Linked DNA regions of Saccharomyces cerevisiae S288C. Changing the gene in region 4 together with the main gene of any one other region gives a genetic interaction. Each region holds a gene or a part of one and is shown on either strand. Other genes may lie near its edges. The genes, in order: SDS3, GIM5, RPD3 and VPS72.

What was found.
Region 1: mutations in VPS72 (region 4) and SDS3 together harm fitness more than expected from each alone (negative genetic interaction), as found in Saccharomyces cerevisiae (5 studies listed by BioGRID, with this or other methods).
Region 2: mutations in VPS72 (region 4) and GIM5 together harm fitness more than expected from each alone (negative genetic interaction), as found in Saccharomyces cerevisiae (8 studies listed by BioGRID, with this or other methods).
Region 3: mutations in VPS72 (region 4) and RPD3 together harm fitness more than expected from each alone (negative genetic interaction), as found in Saccharomyces cerevisiae (5 studies listed by BioGRID, with this or other methods).

What each region holds. Positions count from the first base shown.
Region 1 is NC_001141.2:201,137-205,169, reverse strand, and holds SDS3 (Sds3p), read left to right. Parts: upstream 1-1,910; coding exon 1,911-2,894; downstream 2,895-4,033. Other genes in the region: phosphopantothenate--cysteine ligase CAB2, read left to right, coding at 517-1,614; KTR7 (putative mannosyltransferase), read left to right, coding at 3,127-4,033. UniProt on the Saccharomyces cerevisiae protein: Component of the RPD3C(L) histone deacetylase complex (HDAC) responsible for the deacetylation of lysine residues on the N-terminal part of the core histones (H2A, H2B, H3 and H4).
Region 2 is NC_001145.3:80,364-84,221, reverse strand, and holds GIM5 (Gim5p), read right to left. Parts: upstream 1,948-3,858; coding exon 1,932-1,947; intron 1,849-1,931; coding exon 1,373-1,848; downstream 1-1,372. Other genes in the region: UTP14 (Utp14p), read right to left, coding at 1-1,132; DNA repair protein RAD10, read left to right, coding at 2,109-2,741; YML096W (putative asparagine synthase), read right to left, coding at 2,736-3,858.
Region 3 is NC_001146.8:17,054-21,401, forward strand, and holds RPD3 (histone deacetylase RPD3), read right to left. Parts: upstream 2,250-4,348; coding exon 948-2,249; downstream 1-947. Other genes in the region: AAD14 (putative aryl-alcohol dehydrogenase), read right to left, coding at 1-195; PEX6 (AAA family ATPase peroxin 6), read right to left, coding at 2,488-4,348. UniProt on the Saccharomyces cerevisiae protein: Catalytic component of the RPD3 histone deacetylase (HDAC) complexes RPD3C(L) and RPD3C(S) responsible for the deacetylation of lysine residues on the N-terminal part of the core histones (H2A, H2B, H3 and H4).
Region 4 is NC_001136.10:1,423,797-1,429,275, reverse strand, and holds VPS72 (Vps72p), read left to right. Parts: upstream 1-2,068; coding exon 2,069-4,456; downstream 4,457-5,479. Other genes in the region: PAC11 (dynein intermediate chain), read left to right, coding at 1-88; 3,4-dihydroxy-2-butanone-4-phosphate synthase RIB3, read left to right, coding at 296-922; VPS60 (Vps60p), read left to right, coding at 1,156-1,845; VPS52 (Vps52p), read right to left, coding at 4,588-5,479. UniProt on the Saccharomyces cerevisiae protein: Participates in the catalytic exchange of histone H2A for the H2A variant HTZ1, an euchromatin-specific factor, leading to chromatin remodeling and changes in transcription of targeted genes. Indirectly involved in vacuolar protein sorting.

The DNA.
Region 1 (4,033 bases), on a different chromosome or scaffold from region 4:
ATTAAATTCTTATTACTTCTTGCACAAAGATGCTAACACTTTACAGCTTTGAAAGTAACAGGAAGAAGTGATGCTGTGACAATTAACAGGGTATTTTTTTTTTCACTTCTACTTAAATCGGAGTTACAATTTATGATAAAAAAATCAAGAAAAAAACCTGATTATGCTAAGAAAGTAGAGGCGACGATGACCACCTATGGCCTAACCTAACTATGAACAGATGGTAGGCTCTAAATTGCGTGCCTGAAATCTGCGGATTTGATATGTAGGCGATGTTTTGGGTATTTTCCACCAACTTTATTGGCAAGGGAAGAATTCGATGACCCGAATTCGCCAAACGACAAAAACTGGAGGAGTGACCTATTGTTAACGTTTTTTTTTTTTTTTTAAAGGCATTGTCATCAACAGGACATCTGTATAAGAGGCTAAGACAATTACGCACACAACGCTTTTATTAGTTGTCATAAACTGTGTAGATTAGCAGCAGACACTCCTTTTTTTCTTCATACTATAGCAATGCCACCTCTACCCGTGCTCAACAGACCTCAAATTCATACGTCTGTTACTGAAATAAGTCATGCAATTGATCGTACAATCAAGGAAGAGCTCTTTCCCGTTGCCTACACTACTGAAGAAGAGCAATATTTCAAAACTAACCCTAAACCTGCCTATATCGATGAATTGATTAAGGACGCTAAAGAGTTTATTGATTTGCAGTATTCCCTGAAAAGGAACAAAATAGTTCTTATCACCTCTGGTGGTACTACTGTTCCATTGGAAAACAATACAGTACGTTTTATCGATAATTTTTCTGCAGGTACTCGTGGTGCATCGAGTGCTGAACAGTTCTTAGCGAACGGATATAGTGTTATTTTCTTACATAGGGAATTCTCATTAACTCCGTATAATAGGTCCTTCTCCCATAGCATTAATACTTTATTCTTGGACTACATTGATTCTGAAGGTAAAATCAAACCTGAATTTGCTGAGAATGTTTTGAAGAACAAAAAGCTTTATGACAAGTATATGGAGAAAGAGGAGAAACTACTTTTACTACCATTCACCACGGTCAACCAATACTTATGGTCACTGAAAAGTATAGCCAAGCTATTGAATAATAGTGGTTGCTTGTTTTATTTAGCTGCTGCTGTCAGTGATTTTTTTGTTCCATATTCAAGACTACCTCAGCACAAGATTCAATCAGGAGACAACGGTAAGATGGGAGCAAATAATGACACTGAAGGTACAACTAGGACTACGCCTGATGGTAAACTGATTGTGAATCTTGACCCTGTCCCTAAGTTTTTGAGAAGATTAGTGGAATCATGGGCCACTCAAGCGATGATCGTTTCGTTCAAATTAGAAACTGATGAATCCATGCTGCTTTACAAATGTACACAAGCCCTGGATAGATACAACCATCAACTGGTTATCGGAAACCTTTTACAGACAAGAAACAAACAGGTCATTTTCGTATCCCCTGAAAACAGAAAGGGAGATTGGGTACGTTTGGATGAAAAACACCATAGCATTGAAGAGATGATAATCCCAGAAGTCATCGCACGCCATGACAAATGGGTGGCGCATTCGAAAACTAAGCTAGCTACGAAATAAAACATAGCTCTTGTCTGTAATCAAAAAAATTTGCGTCAAAAAAAAAAATTAGATGTATGTAAACCTTTTTATTGAACTGAAAATTTATCTTTTATCAAATCTTTTTCTTCTATGCCTTAATTATGTTTTCAGGTATCTTTTTTCTCATTATTTAATTTAGCTTATGTATTGATCATTTCGCTTGAGATTTCAGGAAGAAAAAACGCAAACAATTTTTCAGCTAAAATGAACCCTTGGAAAAGCTTTAAGAGAACAAGAGAAACTGTAGAGCTCAGTGTGCATTGTCTTCAAGATTGATGGCTATTCAAAAGGTTAGTAACAAGGACTTGTCCCGCAAGGACAAAAGAAGATTTAATATCGAATCTAAAGTTAATAAGATTTATCAAAATTTTTACTCAGAAAGAGATAATCAATATAAAGATAGACTGACAGCATTGCAAACGGATTTAACTTCTCTGCATCAAGGTGATAATGGCCAATATGCCCGCCAAGTACGAGATTTGGAGGAAGAAAGAGATCTAGAGTTAGTCAGGTTGCGCCTGTTTGAAGAGTACCGTGTTTCTCGTTCCGGTATCGAATTTCAAGAAGATATTGAAAAGGCTAAGGCTGAACACGAGAAACTCATTAAATTATGCAAAGAAAGACTGTATTCGTCTATAGAGCAAAAAATAAAGAAATTACAGGAGGAGAGGTTACTAATGGATGTGGCCAATGTGCACTCCTATGCCATGAATTATAGCAGACCGCAATACCAGAAGAACACGAGAAGTCACACAGTAAGTGGTTGGGATTCTTCGTCCAACGAATATGGAAGAGATACAGCAAACGAAAGTGCTACTGACACGGGAGCTGGAAACGATAGAAGAACGCTAAGGAGAAGGAATGCTTCTAAAGACACGAGAGGTAACAACAACAATCAAGATGAATCTGATTTTCAAACTGGTAATGGTTCTGGAAGTAATGGCCATGGTTCTAGACAAGGGTCGCAATTCCCCCATTTCAACAACCTAACCTACAAGTCAGGCATGAACTCTGACTCAGATTTTCTACAAGGTATAAATGAAGGTACTGATCTATATGCATTTTTGTTTGGCGAAAAGAACCCCAAAGACAATGCTAATGGGAATGAAAAGAAAAAAAACCGTGGTGCTCAACGATATTCCACCAAAACAGCTCCACCTTTACAGTCTTTGAAACCAGATGAGGTCACAGAGGATATTTCCTTGATCAGAGAATTAACAGGTCAGCCTCCGGCTCCTTTCAGACTAAGGTCTGACTAATTTATTTTATGCTGCAAACCTTCCACTTTAACTTTGTATTATATTACATTAGATGGTTATATTTCAATGTGAGCTCTTTTTGTTTTTGCTTTCTTTTCTCGGATACAAGTGGAAAACGAAAAAAAAAAATTGGCTAAAATTTACTGTATACATCAGGCTAACAATCTGTGATTATAGGCACAGTTGTACCAAAGAAGGGCTAGAATATACATCATAATTAGATGCAATTAGCATGGCTATAAGATTGAATCCAAAAGTCAGAAGGTTCTTGCTGGATAAGTGTCGACAAAAACGATATGGTTTCCTCTTTTTAGGATGTATCTTCGCCATACTTTACTGTATGGGGACCTGGCCATTTTTCGCAAAAGATATTGTACATGATCCAAATAATTTGCCTTATTCCTTACAGGATTATTCGACTGACAAAGACGAGCCATTTTTCCGGGGCTGCACTGATACAAAGCTGTACTTGCAAAATCCTGCTTACTCCAAAATGAACGCATCTTTCGTTATGCTAACGAGAAACGAAGAAATAGAAGACGTACTGAAAACTATGAGAAGTATAGAGGGCCATTTCAATAAGTGGTTCAAATATCCGTACGTTTTCTTGAATGATGACCCCTTTACAGATCATTTTAAGGACCAAATTCAAGCTGCAACTAATGCCACTGTAGAGTTTGGCACTGTTGATGAAATTATGTGGGAGTTTCCTGCTAAGGTTCGTAATTCATTGCAGTTTAAGGCTTCATTAGAAGACCAAAACGATCGCGGTATAATGTATGGTAATATGGAATCATATCACAAGATGTGTCGATTTTACTCCGGGATCTTTTATAAACATCCATTAGTTTCCAAGTATGAATGGTATTGGAGAATAGAACCTGATGTGGACTTTTTTTGTGACATCTCGTATGATCCCTTTTTCGAGATGGCCAAACATAACAAGAAATATGGGTTTACCGTACTTATAACTGAACTGTACTGGACTGTCCCCAACTTGTTCAGAACAACCAAAAGCTTTATAAAAAAAACGGCAGGTTTAAAGGAAAATCTCGGCACGTTGTGGAAATTATTTACATTTAATTATAATATTCTAGATACAGATGATGAAGAAATTTCTAGGTGGGTCAATTTTCCCT
Region 2 (3,858 bases), on a different chromosome or scaffold from region 4:
TAGTCCTCTTTCTCATCTCCTCGGGTGTCATTTTAGCAGTGCTCAACTCTTCAAACTTTGAGTCTTTTTCTGGGTTCGCTAAATTACTCTCTTGAAGAACTTGATCTACCTTCTCCTGTAATTCTGTTTGAGGAACATCTTGAGTTCTAGTGAAAGCCGAGGCGTGGTTATGTTCGGTGGGTTTGTTCAGCGGGAAGATTAAATGATCAGCCCTTCTGTTCTGTTGGACGATATCATTCCACTTACTCACTTCTTGCCTAGAGATCTCGTATGCTGCCTTACGATCGTGTCTTTGTTGGATACGTTGTGGTAGCGGAACTTCATACGTCGACGACTTACCCTTAAGCAAGTTAGCGTTTTCAATAACTTGCCTGTCATCAATAACGTTCATCATATCCGTCAAACTCAATTTCCCAGAAGCTCCACTAGCTGCATTTGCAGAGGGCAAAACATACTCATTGGCCTCACCTGAGCCATACGTATCTAGTCTCTTTGGAGCTTTACTTTTGGTTTCATCAATCAGTTTTGAGGTAATTGTATTCAATTCGATGTCTTCTTCATCTTCAGATATTTCGTCGAAGGGATCCTCTTCCTCTTCATCATCTTCAGATTCCGATTCGCTTTCTTCGGAACTGCTTGATTCGGAACTTATATCTGTATCTTGCAATTTTAATTGTGGAGAAGCGTCTTCGTCATCATTGCCGTTACTCTGTGCGGTTTTCTCATCCATGTCCCACACTTGAGACAGTGGCATCAAATCTTCTTCATCAATGGAAGTATACCCACCTTCATCCTCTTCTTCTTGGTAGTTTGCATTCTCCTTCTTGTCACGAATAGTTTGTGAGAATTTGGAATTCAAAATGTCATAGTCATCATCAGAGCCCAACGCTTCATCAGAGTTCAACTCCTCATCTTCAAACGACTCAGAATCGATATCATCTTCATCACTGTTAGTGTCACCTTTTGACCTTTTTAACAAGTTGACAACTGTACCATTACGACGAGCATCATGTCTTTTGTCATTGTCGCTGGAGTTATCGAATTCACCATTAATTTCTCTCTCAGCAAGTTGCAAAGCATCCAAAACTCTTCTAGAACTCTTGGATCTGCTCTTAGATTTCTTTTTTGCCATATTTAAGTTAGCTTATTTTGTCTTGAAGCCTCTTTTATTAGTATATAACAAGATGTTATTGAATGCACACTTAATGAATTTTTTCAGCTCATCGCCATAGGAATTTGAAAAATTTTCAATGGCCTTTTCCGGAAAACTACAAAGTGACGATAAATAAAAAATTACGTTGCATATAGATAAACGTATATCAGATGGCTACAAATGAGATATGAAAAATCGTAGGAAAAGCAAAAGAGTTACCTAGGCTGTAGACGACTCCTTTTTTTGTTGCTGCTGTTGTTGTTTACTCATCGCTTCATGCTGTCTAATAGCGGCTTGTCTTATTTGGGCCTCGATGGACAAGGAATACTGGGTCTTTTCCTTAATAATATCTTGGATCTGTACAGATTCTTTGTTAAGCTTGTCTACTTTCTTTTGGTAAAATGCGATTGCTGCTTCAGCGCTCTTTTCAACGTAATATCCTGTACCAATGTCGACCATGAATTTCTTATTGTCTACAATCTTACCTGGGATGTATAATGATGCAGATGCTGGAACCAGTAGTTTTTGCCCTTCATTTCCTGCTTGGGAGACTGTTTTAATATCATCAATACATTCTGTGAACTTGCCCTTAGCCATGGTTAATGCTTGCAAGGACTGTGTGAAATGCTGCAATTCTTGGTCGAATTGCTGTTTTACAGCATTCAGCTGCTCGGGATTTAGTTTAGTTAAATCGACTAAGTTTCGAACATGTAGTAACTTAAAAGTTAGTAAAGTGTCTGTACGGTGGCAACAACGAAGGAGCTATTCATTTACATACTTTTTTGAGAGGACATGGCTTGATTTTTACAGTGCTCTTTCTTGTTTGGGTCACAGCAAGATTTTCATCTAAGACACTTTTCTATTTAAAATCGTTAGAACAAAAAAGAAAATTGTAACTTATGAGACAGCCACGCAACACAAAAAAGGGCATAAACAAAGTTGGTTATCCTAGAAGATGAACAATACTGATCCTACTTCATTTGAAAGTATATTGGCTGGTGTGGCCAAATTGAGAAAGGAAAAGAGTGGTGCAGATACTACTGGATCTCAATCGTTAGAAATAGATGCATCAAAACTCCAGCAGCAGGAACCGCAAACATCAAGACGCATAAATTCAAACCAGGTCATAAACGCCTTCAATCAGCAAAAACCGGAAGAATGGACCGACTCAAAGGCTACAGATGACTATAATCGAAAGAGACCCTTCAGGAGTACTCGACCGGGAAAAACTGTACTAGTGAACACTACCCAAAAAGAAAATCCACTCCTGAACCACTTAAAGAGCACCAATTGGAGATATGTATCTTCAACAGGAATTAATATGATATACTACGACTATCTAGTTCGTGGAAGAAGTGTACTGTTCTTAACTTTGACTTATCACAAATTATATGTCGATTATATCTCTAGGAGAATGCAGCCCTTATCTAGAAACGAAAATAATATACTGATATTCATAGTAGACGATAACAACTCTGAAGATACCCTTAATGACATTACAAAACTATGTATGTTCAACGGATTTACTCTACTTTTAGCATTTAATTTTGAACAAGCTGCAAAATATATTGAATATTTGAATTTATGAACAATTCCTATTTTCTTTTAATAAATCTGTTCCATGCTTATTACCATCCTTTGTCATTTTAGCGCTTTTAGCACCGAATTGAATGGCCCTTTTTGGTTCTGATGATATTCCATCCAACTTCAAATACTGCGAGGCAACTTTTCGAAGGATTAATTTGTTAACCTTGAAATTAATGGGAATTTCTGCTGTAGATAACTTTATAACATATTCATCTAAAAATGGGTATCTCACCTCCACGCCATTATGAGCTATCACTTTATCATCACGATTCAGGTTGCGATCATAAATGTTGTTTATTTGCCTTGTAAGTTCCTCCACAAGTTCATGGGGTGGTTTGTTGGCAAACTTGTGATATCCACCGTAGAGTTCGTCTGCTCCCAGTCCGCTGAATAACACTATCCCATGGCGCTGATATGGCGTTCTTTCCCCATTCAGAGAAGTTAAGAAACCTCTACCTCTCGACGCAAAAAAAAAAGCAATGGCTATAGACAAGTCCATTTCAGTCTGTTTAGGATACATTAAATTGATAACAAATGGCTTCCATTTTAAATACTCATCATAAGGAACGTCAACTTCAACCAGTTTGATATCAACATTAGGATATAAGTTTTGTAAAGTCTTTGCACTGTTAATGGACAGTTTTCTATCAGGTGTATCACTGGGAAAAAGACCAGTCCTGGGGTTTTCGAAGGATACATTTAGAAGCTCTATAACTGGTTTTCCACATTTATAATCATTTTCTTGCAACACCTCGCAGATCAACGCTACTATTACTGAACAATCAATTCCTCCTGAGAATAGTACCGCAATAGGAGAGTTTTCAATATGCCTGGGATGTATGGACTCTACCCTTTTTTTTACAGAATCACGTAGCACAGCATATAAATTTTTAGACACCTCTGACAATGATGTGAAATTCAGATCTATCTCTGATGTCACTTCGTATGGAAGATGTGACCTCTGATTGGAATTTAACAACTTAGTTCGTGTATCATATTCATAAATAACTCCACCTATACAATCTTGAAAGGACCCAGCAGACCCCGTTACACTAGCGACGTACAATTCGTTGTCTGGAGTGACCGAATAAGACAAACTTCGCCTGCCAATTGGATCT
Region 3 (4,348 bases), on a different chromosome or scaffold from region 4:
AGCTTCATAAAAAGCATCAAGAAGTTCAAAGGCCTGTTCCTTATTCATAGAGCCCATAAAGCCTGACCATGCGTCGCCGATTGAAGCTCCTCCCAGAATTAGCGGTGAAACCCTTATGCCGGCAGTTTTAGAAAGAACCCTGAGACGTCCCAATTCGGTAGGTGGTTCAGGTAGAGGTTTAAACAAGTCAGTCATGCTGAATAGTGGTTTTTTATGCAATAGACAATATGTTAAGTAAAATACAAAGCCGTTCAGCTAATTGGTTAGCTAGTTAATGAAGAGAAGAACAGCATGCATCCTTGACTTGGAAATATTGTCATACTTAAATATGGTTGGAAATTTTGCCCCCCGGTTTCCTTGAATACGAACAATGCAACTTATTTGAGTCTTCGTACGAGATCTGCTTACTGGTTTTGTACAGCGCTGAAAGCGAATTTGAAAATATATGCAATTAGAAGAGAGTGAATCAGATGAGGATAGGGTTAATACTGTAAAATTATTACCAAATATTGAATGACATATAAAAGTCGTAGTAACCGAATTTGTTTTTTATTATGAATAAAGACTTCTTGTTTTCGCATACTTCGATGATTTAAGAAATTAAAAGTCATTTACCCAGGCGTGATTATAAATTATATTGGCACCGCTTTATCAACAGCGGTGGGACGAGACGTTTAGATAGTAATTACAATAGAAATACAACTGTTTCAATATTAAAATATCTCTAGTATGTAAATAACACATATAGGCAATTTTCTTCGAAACGTATGGGACGCGGTTGATGTATGAACGGAACGCATCAATTAAAGGTTTGAGAAAAGTCTTTTGCAAAAAAATTGAGTTTGCACTTCTCATACACAATTGGATAGCGTCTTAAGTGCCTTTTATTCACTTTTCTTCTTTTGTTTCACATTATTTATATTCGTATATACTTCCAACTCTTTTTTTCAATAGAATTCATTGTCATGCTCAACATGTAGGTCCCTCGCATATTGCGAACCACCCTTCGTATCTTTAGCCTCGGCAGAATCTTCTTCAACATCACCCAAATCTTCGGCATCCCTAGGTGTGTGATTCAACTGAACACTAGGGGCATACTTTGTGTTTTCCAAATTAGCAAATATATTGGTCATTACCTTGTCAAGATATTCGGGAGTATTTACATTGAACATATTCGAAGGTCTAACACTTAACTTATAATCTGGACCGTAATATTCGTAATATTCATTGTACGGTAAATCTTTATCCAAGACAACGTTATTTAGTAGACCTGTTTCAAAGCACCATGTCCTTGCAACATTTCTCATAGTATAGCCTCCTCCACCAACAACCATCATTGGGATCCCAAAGGATTTCACATAGTTTACACAATTAGCATGGCCTTCCATGGAAAGATTAAAGCAACCAAGACGATCGCCGGACAAGGAGTCCCCACCACACTGTAACACGACAGCAGAAGGTTGATACCATTCCATAATTTTTTTTATCACAGGTTCAAACACAGATCTATACGTAGCATCGTCAATACCGTCTCTTAATGGCACATTGACCGCGTAGTTTTTTCCTGCACCCACCCCTATATCTCTCAGTTCACCTGTGCCAGGGAAAAACTCACCATATTTGTGGAAAGAACATGTCATGACACGATCCGTTGTATAAAACGCTTCCTCTACACCATCACCATGGTGCACATCAATATCAATATACAGAACTCTGGGGTGGTATCGTAGTAGCTCAATAATGCCCAGTACTATGTCATTTAAATAACAAAACCCAGAAGCTTCCGATTTTTTTGCATGATGCAAACCACCCGCATAGTTGACAGCAACATCACATTTGCCTCTATTCAGACGAGCAGCTCCTTCCATAGAGCCACCACCAGATATGCTACAGTACTCATAGAGCCCATCAAAGACAGGACAATCATCTCCGACATTAAACTTGACACTTTCTCTTTTAAACATTTCTAAATTATCTGGAGTAACCCTCGATAAAAAATCAATGTATTCATCAGTATGGAACTGACACATTTCTTGTTTCGTTGCCGGCTTAGCTCTGTAAATTTCCATCTTCTTGTACAAGCCATAATTCATAATAAGGGAATGTGCCATTCTTATTCTATGCGGCTTCATCGGGTGACCTGCTCCATATGCATAGTTCCCAACGTCTGCATCGTAAAAATATGCAACGCGTCTTTTATCGCTTGGCTTGACCGTGATCGGATCAAAAGGTGTTGCTTCATATACCATCTGCACGGATATCGAGTTGTAGCCACGAATGTTTTGTATGGCGCAATTGTTTTATGAACCTTTATGGTTATTACTTCAAATTTTTATTATGTATAATCAACTACTAGTATCTTTTCTGTTTTTCCCTTTCGATAGATACTATGAGCCGGGGAGGGTAAGTAAATAAAAAGATAAATTTCAAGGCAAAATATGGGACATATATTTACAAATTTACCTATACGCTCTGAGTTGATATTACTTAAGCACCTTCAAAATTAGCTCTCACCGCTTCATAATGATTCAGTTCAGCCCGCGACACACTTGGGGTGAGCTGCTCTTGTGCTTTCAAGAAGTCTTCCATTTTTACGACAACCTTAGTATCCTCTTTTGTCGCAATCTTATCAAACCAGCGACGTGTAGAAATATTCTCTCCCGTCAATTCGTTATGCTGAGAAACTTTTTTTTCTACCATGCGTGCAATTCTTGACATGGCGTTAAGCATTGCATCTGAGCAGAGAGCATAAAAATCTGCCCCGGTGTAATTAAATGGACATAGCTTTGCCAACTCAATAAGCTTTACGTCGTTGTCGAGCACGAATTTGCGAGTCAGAGCCTCTAAAATATTCAATTGTTTGGTATCCGTATCCGGAATGCCTAAATATAACAATTTATCGAATCGTCCTGGTCTTAGTAGTGCTTCGTCCAATAAGTCTGGTCTGTTTGTTGCTCCGATAACAAATACACCGTCAGCGTCGGTACTCATACCATCTAACTCTGCTAGTAACTGTGAAACGATACGATCCATAACACCACCCGAATCACCTTGATTACCACGTTTGGGTGCTACTGAATCGATTTCATCGAAAAATATGACACAAGGTTTAGCCTCTCTCGCCTTTTGAAACACTCTGCGCACATTAGCTTCACTCTCACCAATGTACATATTCAACAGTTCAGGGCCTTTAACACTAAAAAAATTTAAAGAAAAATTTGTTGCAATGGCCTTAGCCATTAGAGTTTTACCTGTACCCGGTGGACCATAAAAAAGAATACCGCTTCTCTTTTTCATACCTGAGGTAAATAATTCAGGATGTTTTAGCGGCATGTCTATTGTGTCCAATATTTCACCTTTAACAAAATCAATACCACCTATATCATCCCAAGTTACGTTAGGGATTTGTGGGGCACCAATCGAAACCGAGAATTCGTTCCTAGCTTTCGAAGTAGCTTTTGATAAATCCTCCTGAGTGATCAAAATTGATTGCGGAAGCCATCCACACTTCTTTGATTCTTGGTAAAAACGCGCAGTAGCCGTCATTCGTGCCGTTTCCACAATTGATTTGATGTCTAAAGGAGTTAAACCAGCAGAATATGAAGAGAGTGATGAAAATGAAATATTATCCATGTAAGATACTGGAACCTTTTGTTGAACATCTCTGTTTAGTTCATGTGAAGATAAGTACCACTGAAAGATACGCAGTCTCTGTGCTTCAGACGGAACGGGTACGAGAATCTCAAATCTCATATGTGATCTAAAGCTGGAAGGCACGTTATCTATGTTATTTACGGAGCCAACAAATGTAGTTCCTGGGAATTTAAACGTAAAATCGTCCAGAAGTTTAGACATTTCGAAGTTTATAGATTTTTGTAATTTGATTGCCTCTGGATCTTGATTAGCGTTTACGTCAAGCAAAATTGAATCCAAATGAGCCAAAAAAATCACAGCAGGTGATGCGTACGGTAGGACATTTTCACATTTAGCCCTAATGTAACCAATAATCTTAGATGTTGAATCCAGTTGTCTTGAATTTGAAGTGAGCGAAAGGCAATCTATCTCCAGTAGATGTATACCAAGATATTTTGAAGCAAATCTCACCATTGTAGCCTTGCCCACATTGTTTGTAGTGGAATGAAGTAACACAGAGGCATTTAGGGTGATTCCCCTTTGAGAACAATTGAAGGAAGTTTCTAATATGTTAACCAATTGTCTTACATAGGGGAAGATATGCAAATCATAGTAAAAAGTTTCAGCAAAACCGTAATATCTCTGAAGATTGGATCTACTCAAGGGTAATGGTCTTCTGTTAGTGATATTAGTTGTTATTAGCTTCGTCCGATTG
Region 4 (5,479 bases):
AGTGTGGTGTGCAGATGGTCGCCTCGTTGTTGTAAATTGGGCTTTCGATGCTAAGACGTCCCTCTACACGGCCACTGTTATCTCCTAACGCCGCTTCGAGGCGGGTGAGCATAGGTTATTGCCTGATGAGTAATTTCTTAGCGAGAATTGATAAAAAAAAGCAAGGCTATTATTAATATACGTGCTATTGTGAAATTTTCATTGGCGTATATATGTGAGGTGAATGTAAATATCTCCAACAAAAAGCAGAAGGCTAAAAAAAAGGAAAGGAAAAGAAGAAAAGGCAACGTCGAAAATGTTTACACCAATTGATCAAGCTATAGAACACTTCAAGCAGAATAAGTTTGTAATTGTTATGGACGATGCCGGTCGTGAAAATGAAGGTGATCTTATTTGCGCTGCTGAAAATGTCAGCACTGAACAAATGGCCTTTCTTGTACGCCATTCCTCAGGCTACGTCTGTGCACCTATGACGAATGCCATTGCTGATAAGTTGGACCTTCCACTACTGAGAACAGGCATGAAGTTTGAATCCAATGATGACGACAGGCATGGAACTGCATACACAATAACTGTAGATGTAGCCCAAGGCACTACCACAGGTATTTCTGCTCACGACAGGTCGATGACTTGTAGGGCTCTTGCAGACTCTTCCTCTACGCCAAAATCATTTTTAAAACCAGGGCACATCTGTCCCTTGAGAGCCGCTGATGGCGGTGTTTTGCAGAGAAGAGGCCACACTGAGGCCGGTGTCGATTTGTGTAAACTAAGTGGACTAAGTCCCGTCGCTGTTATTGGCGAATTGGTTAACGATGACGAACAAGGAACTATGATGAGATTAAATGACTGCCAAGCGTTTGGTAAGAAACATGGCATTCCTTTGATCTCCATCGAAGAATTGGCCCAATATTTGAAGAAATAATCTGGTGAACATTTTCTCCATTCATTCTATCACAACAGACTCACACATATATACATGTATATATTTGTAACTTTGTATATATCTTTTGTTTTTTGACCTTTTTCTTCCTCTATGTTTTTCAGCCATACAAAAATATGGGATTTTTAGCAAGAGAAAAAGTACATCTAAAAAAAGTAGTAATAGGAGGAAGCCAAGATTGGTTGAAACACAGTTATAAACTCTTCAAGGCAATTATGAACAGGATTTTCGGATATGGGAACAAAAAGAGCCATGATCAGCTCTTACAAGAGTCGAATCAGTCCATGAATCAGGCCCAACAATCACTATCGAACAGAATATCCCAGTTAGATACTCAAATCGCCCAGTTAAACTTCCAGCTGCAAAATATTCAAAAGAATTTGCAAAGATCAAACAACAAGCAACCCTCGTTAAGAAAACAGGCTTTGAAGATTTTAAATAAACGTAAACAGTTAGAAAATATGAAGGATTCTTTAGATTCTCAATCCTGGTCCATGACGCAAGCCCAGTTAACAAATGATAACTTACAGAACACAATGATCACTATAAACGCACTAAAGCAAACAAACAATGCCATGAAGGCTCAATACGGCAAGATAAATATCGACAAACTACAGGACATGCAGGATGAGATGCTGGATTTAATAGAACAAGGGGATGAGCTGCAAGAAGTCTTGGCAATGAATAATAACAGTGGCGAGCTCGACGACATTAGTGATGCAGAGCTGGATGCAGAGCTGGATGCTCTGGCACAAGAGGATTTCACTTTGCCAACCAGCGAAAACTCATTAGGTAACGATATGCCCAGTTACTTACTAGGTGCGAATGCGCCACCGGCTTTTATTGATGAAGAGCCAAACTTAGATACTGAAGACAAAAATAAAGCTTTAGAAAGCGCTCAGTGAAAACAAAAAGCACACAAAGTTGCATATTCAGAATTTTTCTCTCCTTTCCCTTTTCTTTATATTCTCTTTGCTGGTAAGCCAAAATATGTACCTTATTTAGGTTTTAGTAGTTTTCTTTTTTCTTTGTTAAAAAAATCCTGATGGAAAAAACAGTAAGCAGAAAGCACCATGTAGTCTAATGAATACAAATAGAAGTGAAACCGAAGCAAATTCACAGTGCACGATGAGTGATGAAGGTGCTGATAAAAGTCTAGATACTAACACAGAATTTATTATACAAACACGATCTAGGAGGTCTAATGCCGGTAATAAATTACAAAAACTATTGGAGCAGGAGCTAAGAGATATAGAATCTACCAAAAGACAAATTTCTTCCTATAAGAATGGTAATGATGATGAAGAAGATGAAATAGGGCTGTTGTTTCAGGAAGATGAAGATGATGAAGATTTCGAAATGATGGCAAAAGATGACGATGATGAAGGGGAAGAAAAAGAAGATGAGACTCAAAGTATAAGGAAAGAGCCCTCTCAGGCTTCAAGTGAGCAAGCAGCCGATGACTTAATGTTCAGCAGTAGCGAATCTGAGGACTCCAGCAACGAGAATGATGAAGATGCAGAGGAAAAGGAAATACGAAGACAAGAACTACTTTCAAGAAAGAAAAGAAACAAGAGATTACAGAAGGGTCCCGTTGTAATCAAAAAACAAAAACCTAAGCCTAAGTCAGGAGAAGCTATACCAAGATCGCACCATACCCATGAACAATTAAACGCAGAGACGTTACTATTAAATACAAGGAGAACTTCTAAAAGATCATCGGTAATGGAAAACACGATGAAAGTTTATGAGAAATTGTCTAAAGCTGAAAAAAAGAGAAAAATTATACAAGAAAGAATAAGGAAACACAAGGAGCAGGAGTCTCAGCATATGCTGACACAAGAAGAGAGGCTACGGATTGCCAAGGAGACTGAGAAGCTGAATATTTTGTCACTGGATAAGTTCAAGGAACAAGAAGTTTGGAAAAAGGAGAATCGTCTAGCTTTGCAGAAAAGACAAAAGCAGAAATTCCAGCCAAATGAGACTATACTGCAATTTTTATCTACTGCTTGGCTAATGACGCCAGCGATGGAGTTAGAAGATCGTAAATATTGGCAGGAACAATTGAATAAACGTGATAAGAAGAAGAAAAAATATCCGAGGAAGCCAAAGAAGAATTTAAATCTCGGAAAACAGGACGCATCAGATGATAAAAAGCGGGAGAGTGAAGAATCGATAAAGAACGATGGCGACGTGAATTCTTTGGGTGAGAATTCTTCATCTGTACACAACCAGAAAAGGATTGAGGAAACTTCTACTAACGATACAGTTGAAGGAGAATCGAGTCCAGATGCAGCGGTGAGTAGAGTAAATTCAGACGAATTAAAGCCAACAGCATTACCTGATGTTACATTGGACGCAATTGCAAACAAGCAGAGTACCGTTGATGAAGCTCCCAACAGCCAACCACAAAAGAATATAATAACTAATGAGCAAAAAATTACCAATGTAGGCGAACCGATACAAAATTTACATAATGAAGAAATTAAAGATGAAATGGTAAGTGCTCTCGAGAGCAGGGAAAATACTTTTGAAAACTCATCACCTGCTGCCCAAGTGGTCTCACAAAGGGATAATTCTGCAACACCTACACCATCAAACTCCACTGGCACTGAAGATACTATATTGATCTCTCCGGATACGGATATAAAAGGAGAGCCTGAACCTTGTCTGAAAACCGAAGGCATCGAGAACTTATCTCATAATGTACCACAAGAGACCAAAAGCAATACTGATGTTTCTTTCTTGAAACAAGTAACGTTTACCGACCATCCGCAAGTGGCCATAATCGATACTGAAGAGTCACCCTCAAAAAAAGATACAGCTAATGTTGATGAATCTTCCGCGGAAAACTCTTTATCAACACAGACCTACGAAGGGCCTGAGCAATTAACCTCAAGGAACTTTGTTACACTTTATGATTTTCCTAATGCTCCTCCAAATCTAAAAGATTTTAACACAAACTTATTTGGTGATCGATGGTCATACACAAATGGGTTATCCGCCACTCAGCGTCCACAAGATATGAAAACTGTTTTCCACTCCATTTTACCATCACCTCCTCAGTCTTCAGTACCGTCTCCTACCGTAGATATATCACTTGATCTGTCAGCTCTGGCAAATTTCCCATCTTTTGGGGAATACGATAAGAAAATAGTCCATCAAATCAACACAGAGATAAATAAGGATTTGGAAATCAAAATTAAAACACAGCCTCCAACGGGTGTCTTCTTAGCCAATGGTATAAGAAAAAAATGTTTAATCACAAATAAAGAATGTCAGTACTTTGATCCAAGGACTGGTGTGCCTTATTCTGATGTGGAAGCTTATAAAATTATTCAGCGGATTCAAGATCCTATTTCTAAGGAGGAGGGAAGGTCAGATATCAAGCGTGATGAAACGACAAATGAGGATAGTGACGATCAAGTGAGATTCAAGTGGTTTGGGTTCAAAAACGGCGGTATTTACCTTGATTTAAGTCAAAGACCTGCAAAAGGTGTTCCTGAAGGATTTTAATTGAGACAGACTATATAATGGTAGGTCGTTAAACATTTGACTATATTCCACACAAAATAAGAAATCATAAAGATCATTTTACATAAAAATATACTTTATACGCTCCATGTCTTATACAATCGTTACATTCATCAATTTCTGGTGAAAGCTTCAACTAAAGTTTTGAAATGATTTTCGGTCTCTCTGATTATTAGTGGTACGCTTGAATCATTATCGTCGTCATTCGCAACTTTCGTACCAACATTTTCAGCAGAATCAAAATTGTAGTTTTGTGCATCCGAGTCATTTATATTTAAATGTAGATGCAATTGCTGTAGGTTATTGTATAAATACATGTAATTTGTAGCCAGAAATCTTTCTGGTGATTTCGTCTTTTTACTGCACTTTGTCATGACTGTTTCGAAATCATTTCTTAATCTAATGATGGAATTGTATAAGGGTTCAGATCTTTCGTCTATGGACTGCTTATGTGTTATTGCCAACGTCAAGAAGCTTGATAAAAATTTACCGAACTGTACAGTTAACTCATGAGGTGAGGTCAAAGGGCTACTATTGGATGTGCTTGAGTTGCCGGCATATTTTGCCACATTTGTAGTTATTGCCGCTTTTCGTAAGCTCTCGCATTGAAAATCGACCAATTGCTGAAATCGAGGCCATAATTGAATTAATTGACCATTCAAGAAACTATCAAACATAGACGGTATTCCTCTCCTTTCTGATTCAAATTGTAATTGATTGGCCACACGAATACTTATTAATACACCAAAAATGTCATAATTATATTGGATCAGTTGTTGAGTGTATGTTGTGGCTTCATCAAAAGTTGGTTGAAATATTTGTTCCAATAAACCATTAATTTCCTCAAAATTATCGCCATTCATAGCGAAGAAATCTTTTAAAAAATGGTACTCCACCGTACAGTTATCTAAAATTGCAAGGTTTAAATTTTTAAATCCAATTTCAATGTAGTTTTTCGTTGTGTTATTTTCTGCAATTTGGGATACCATTACCGTATTGTCTTCT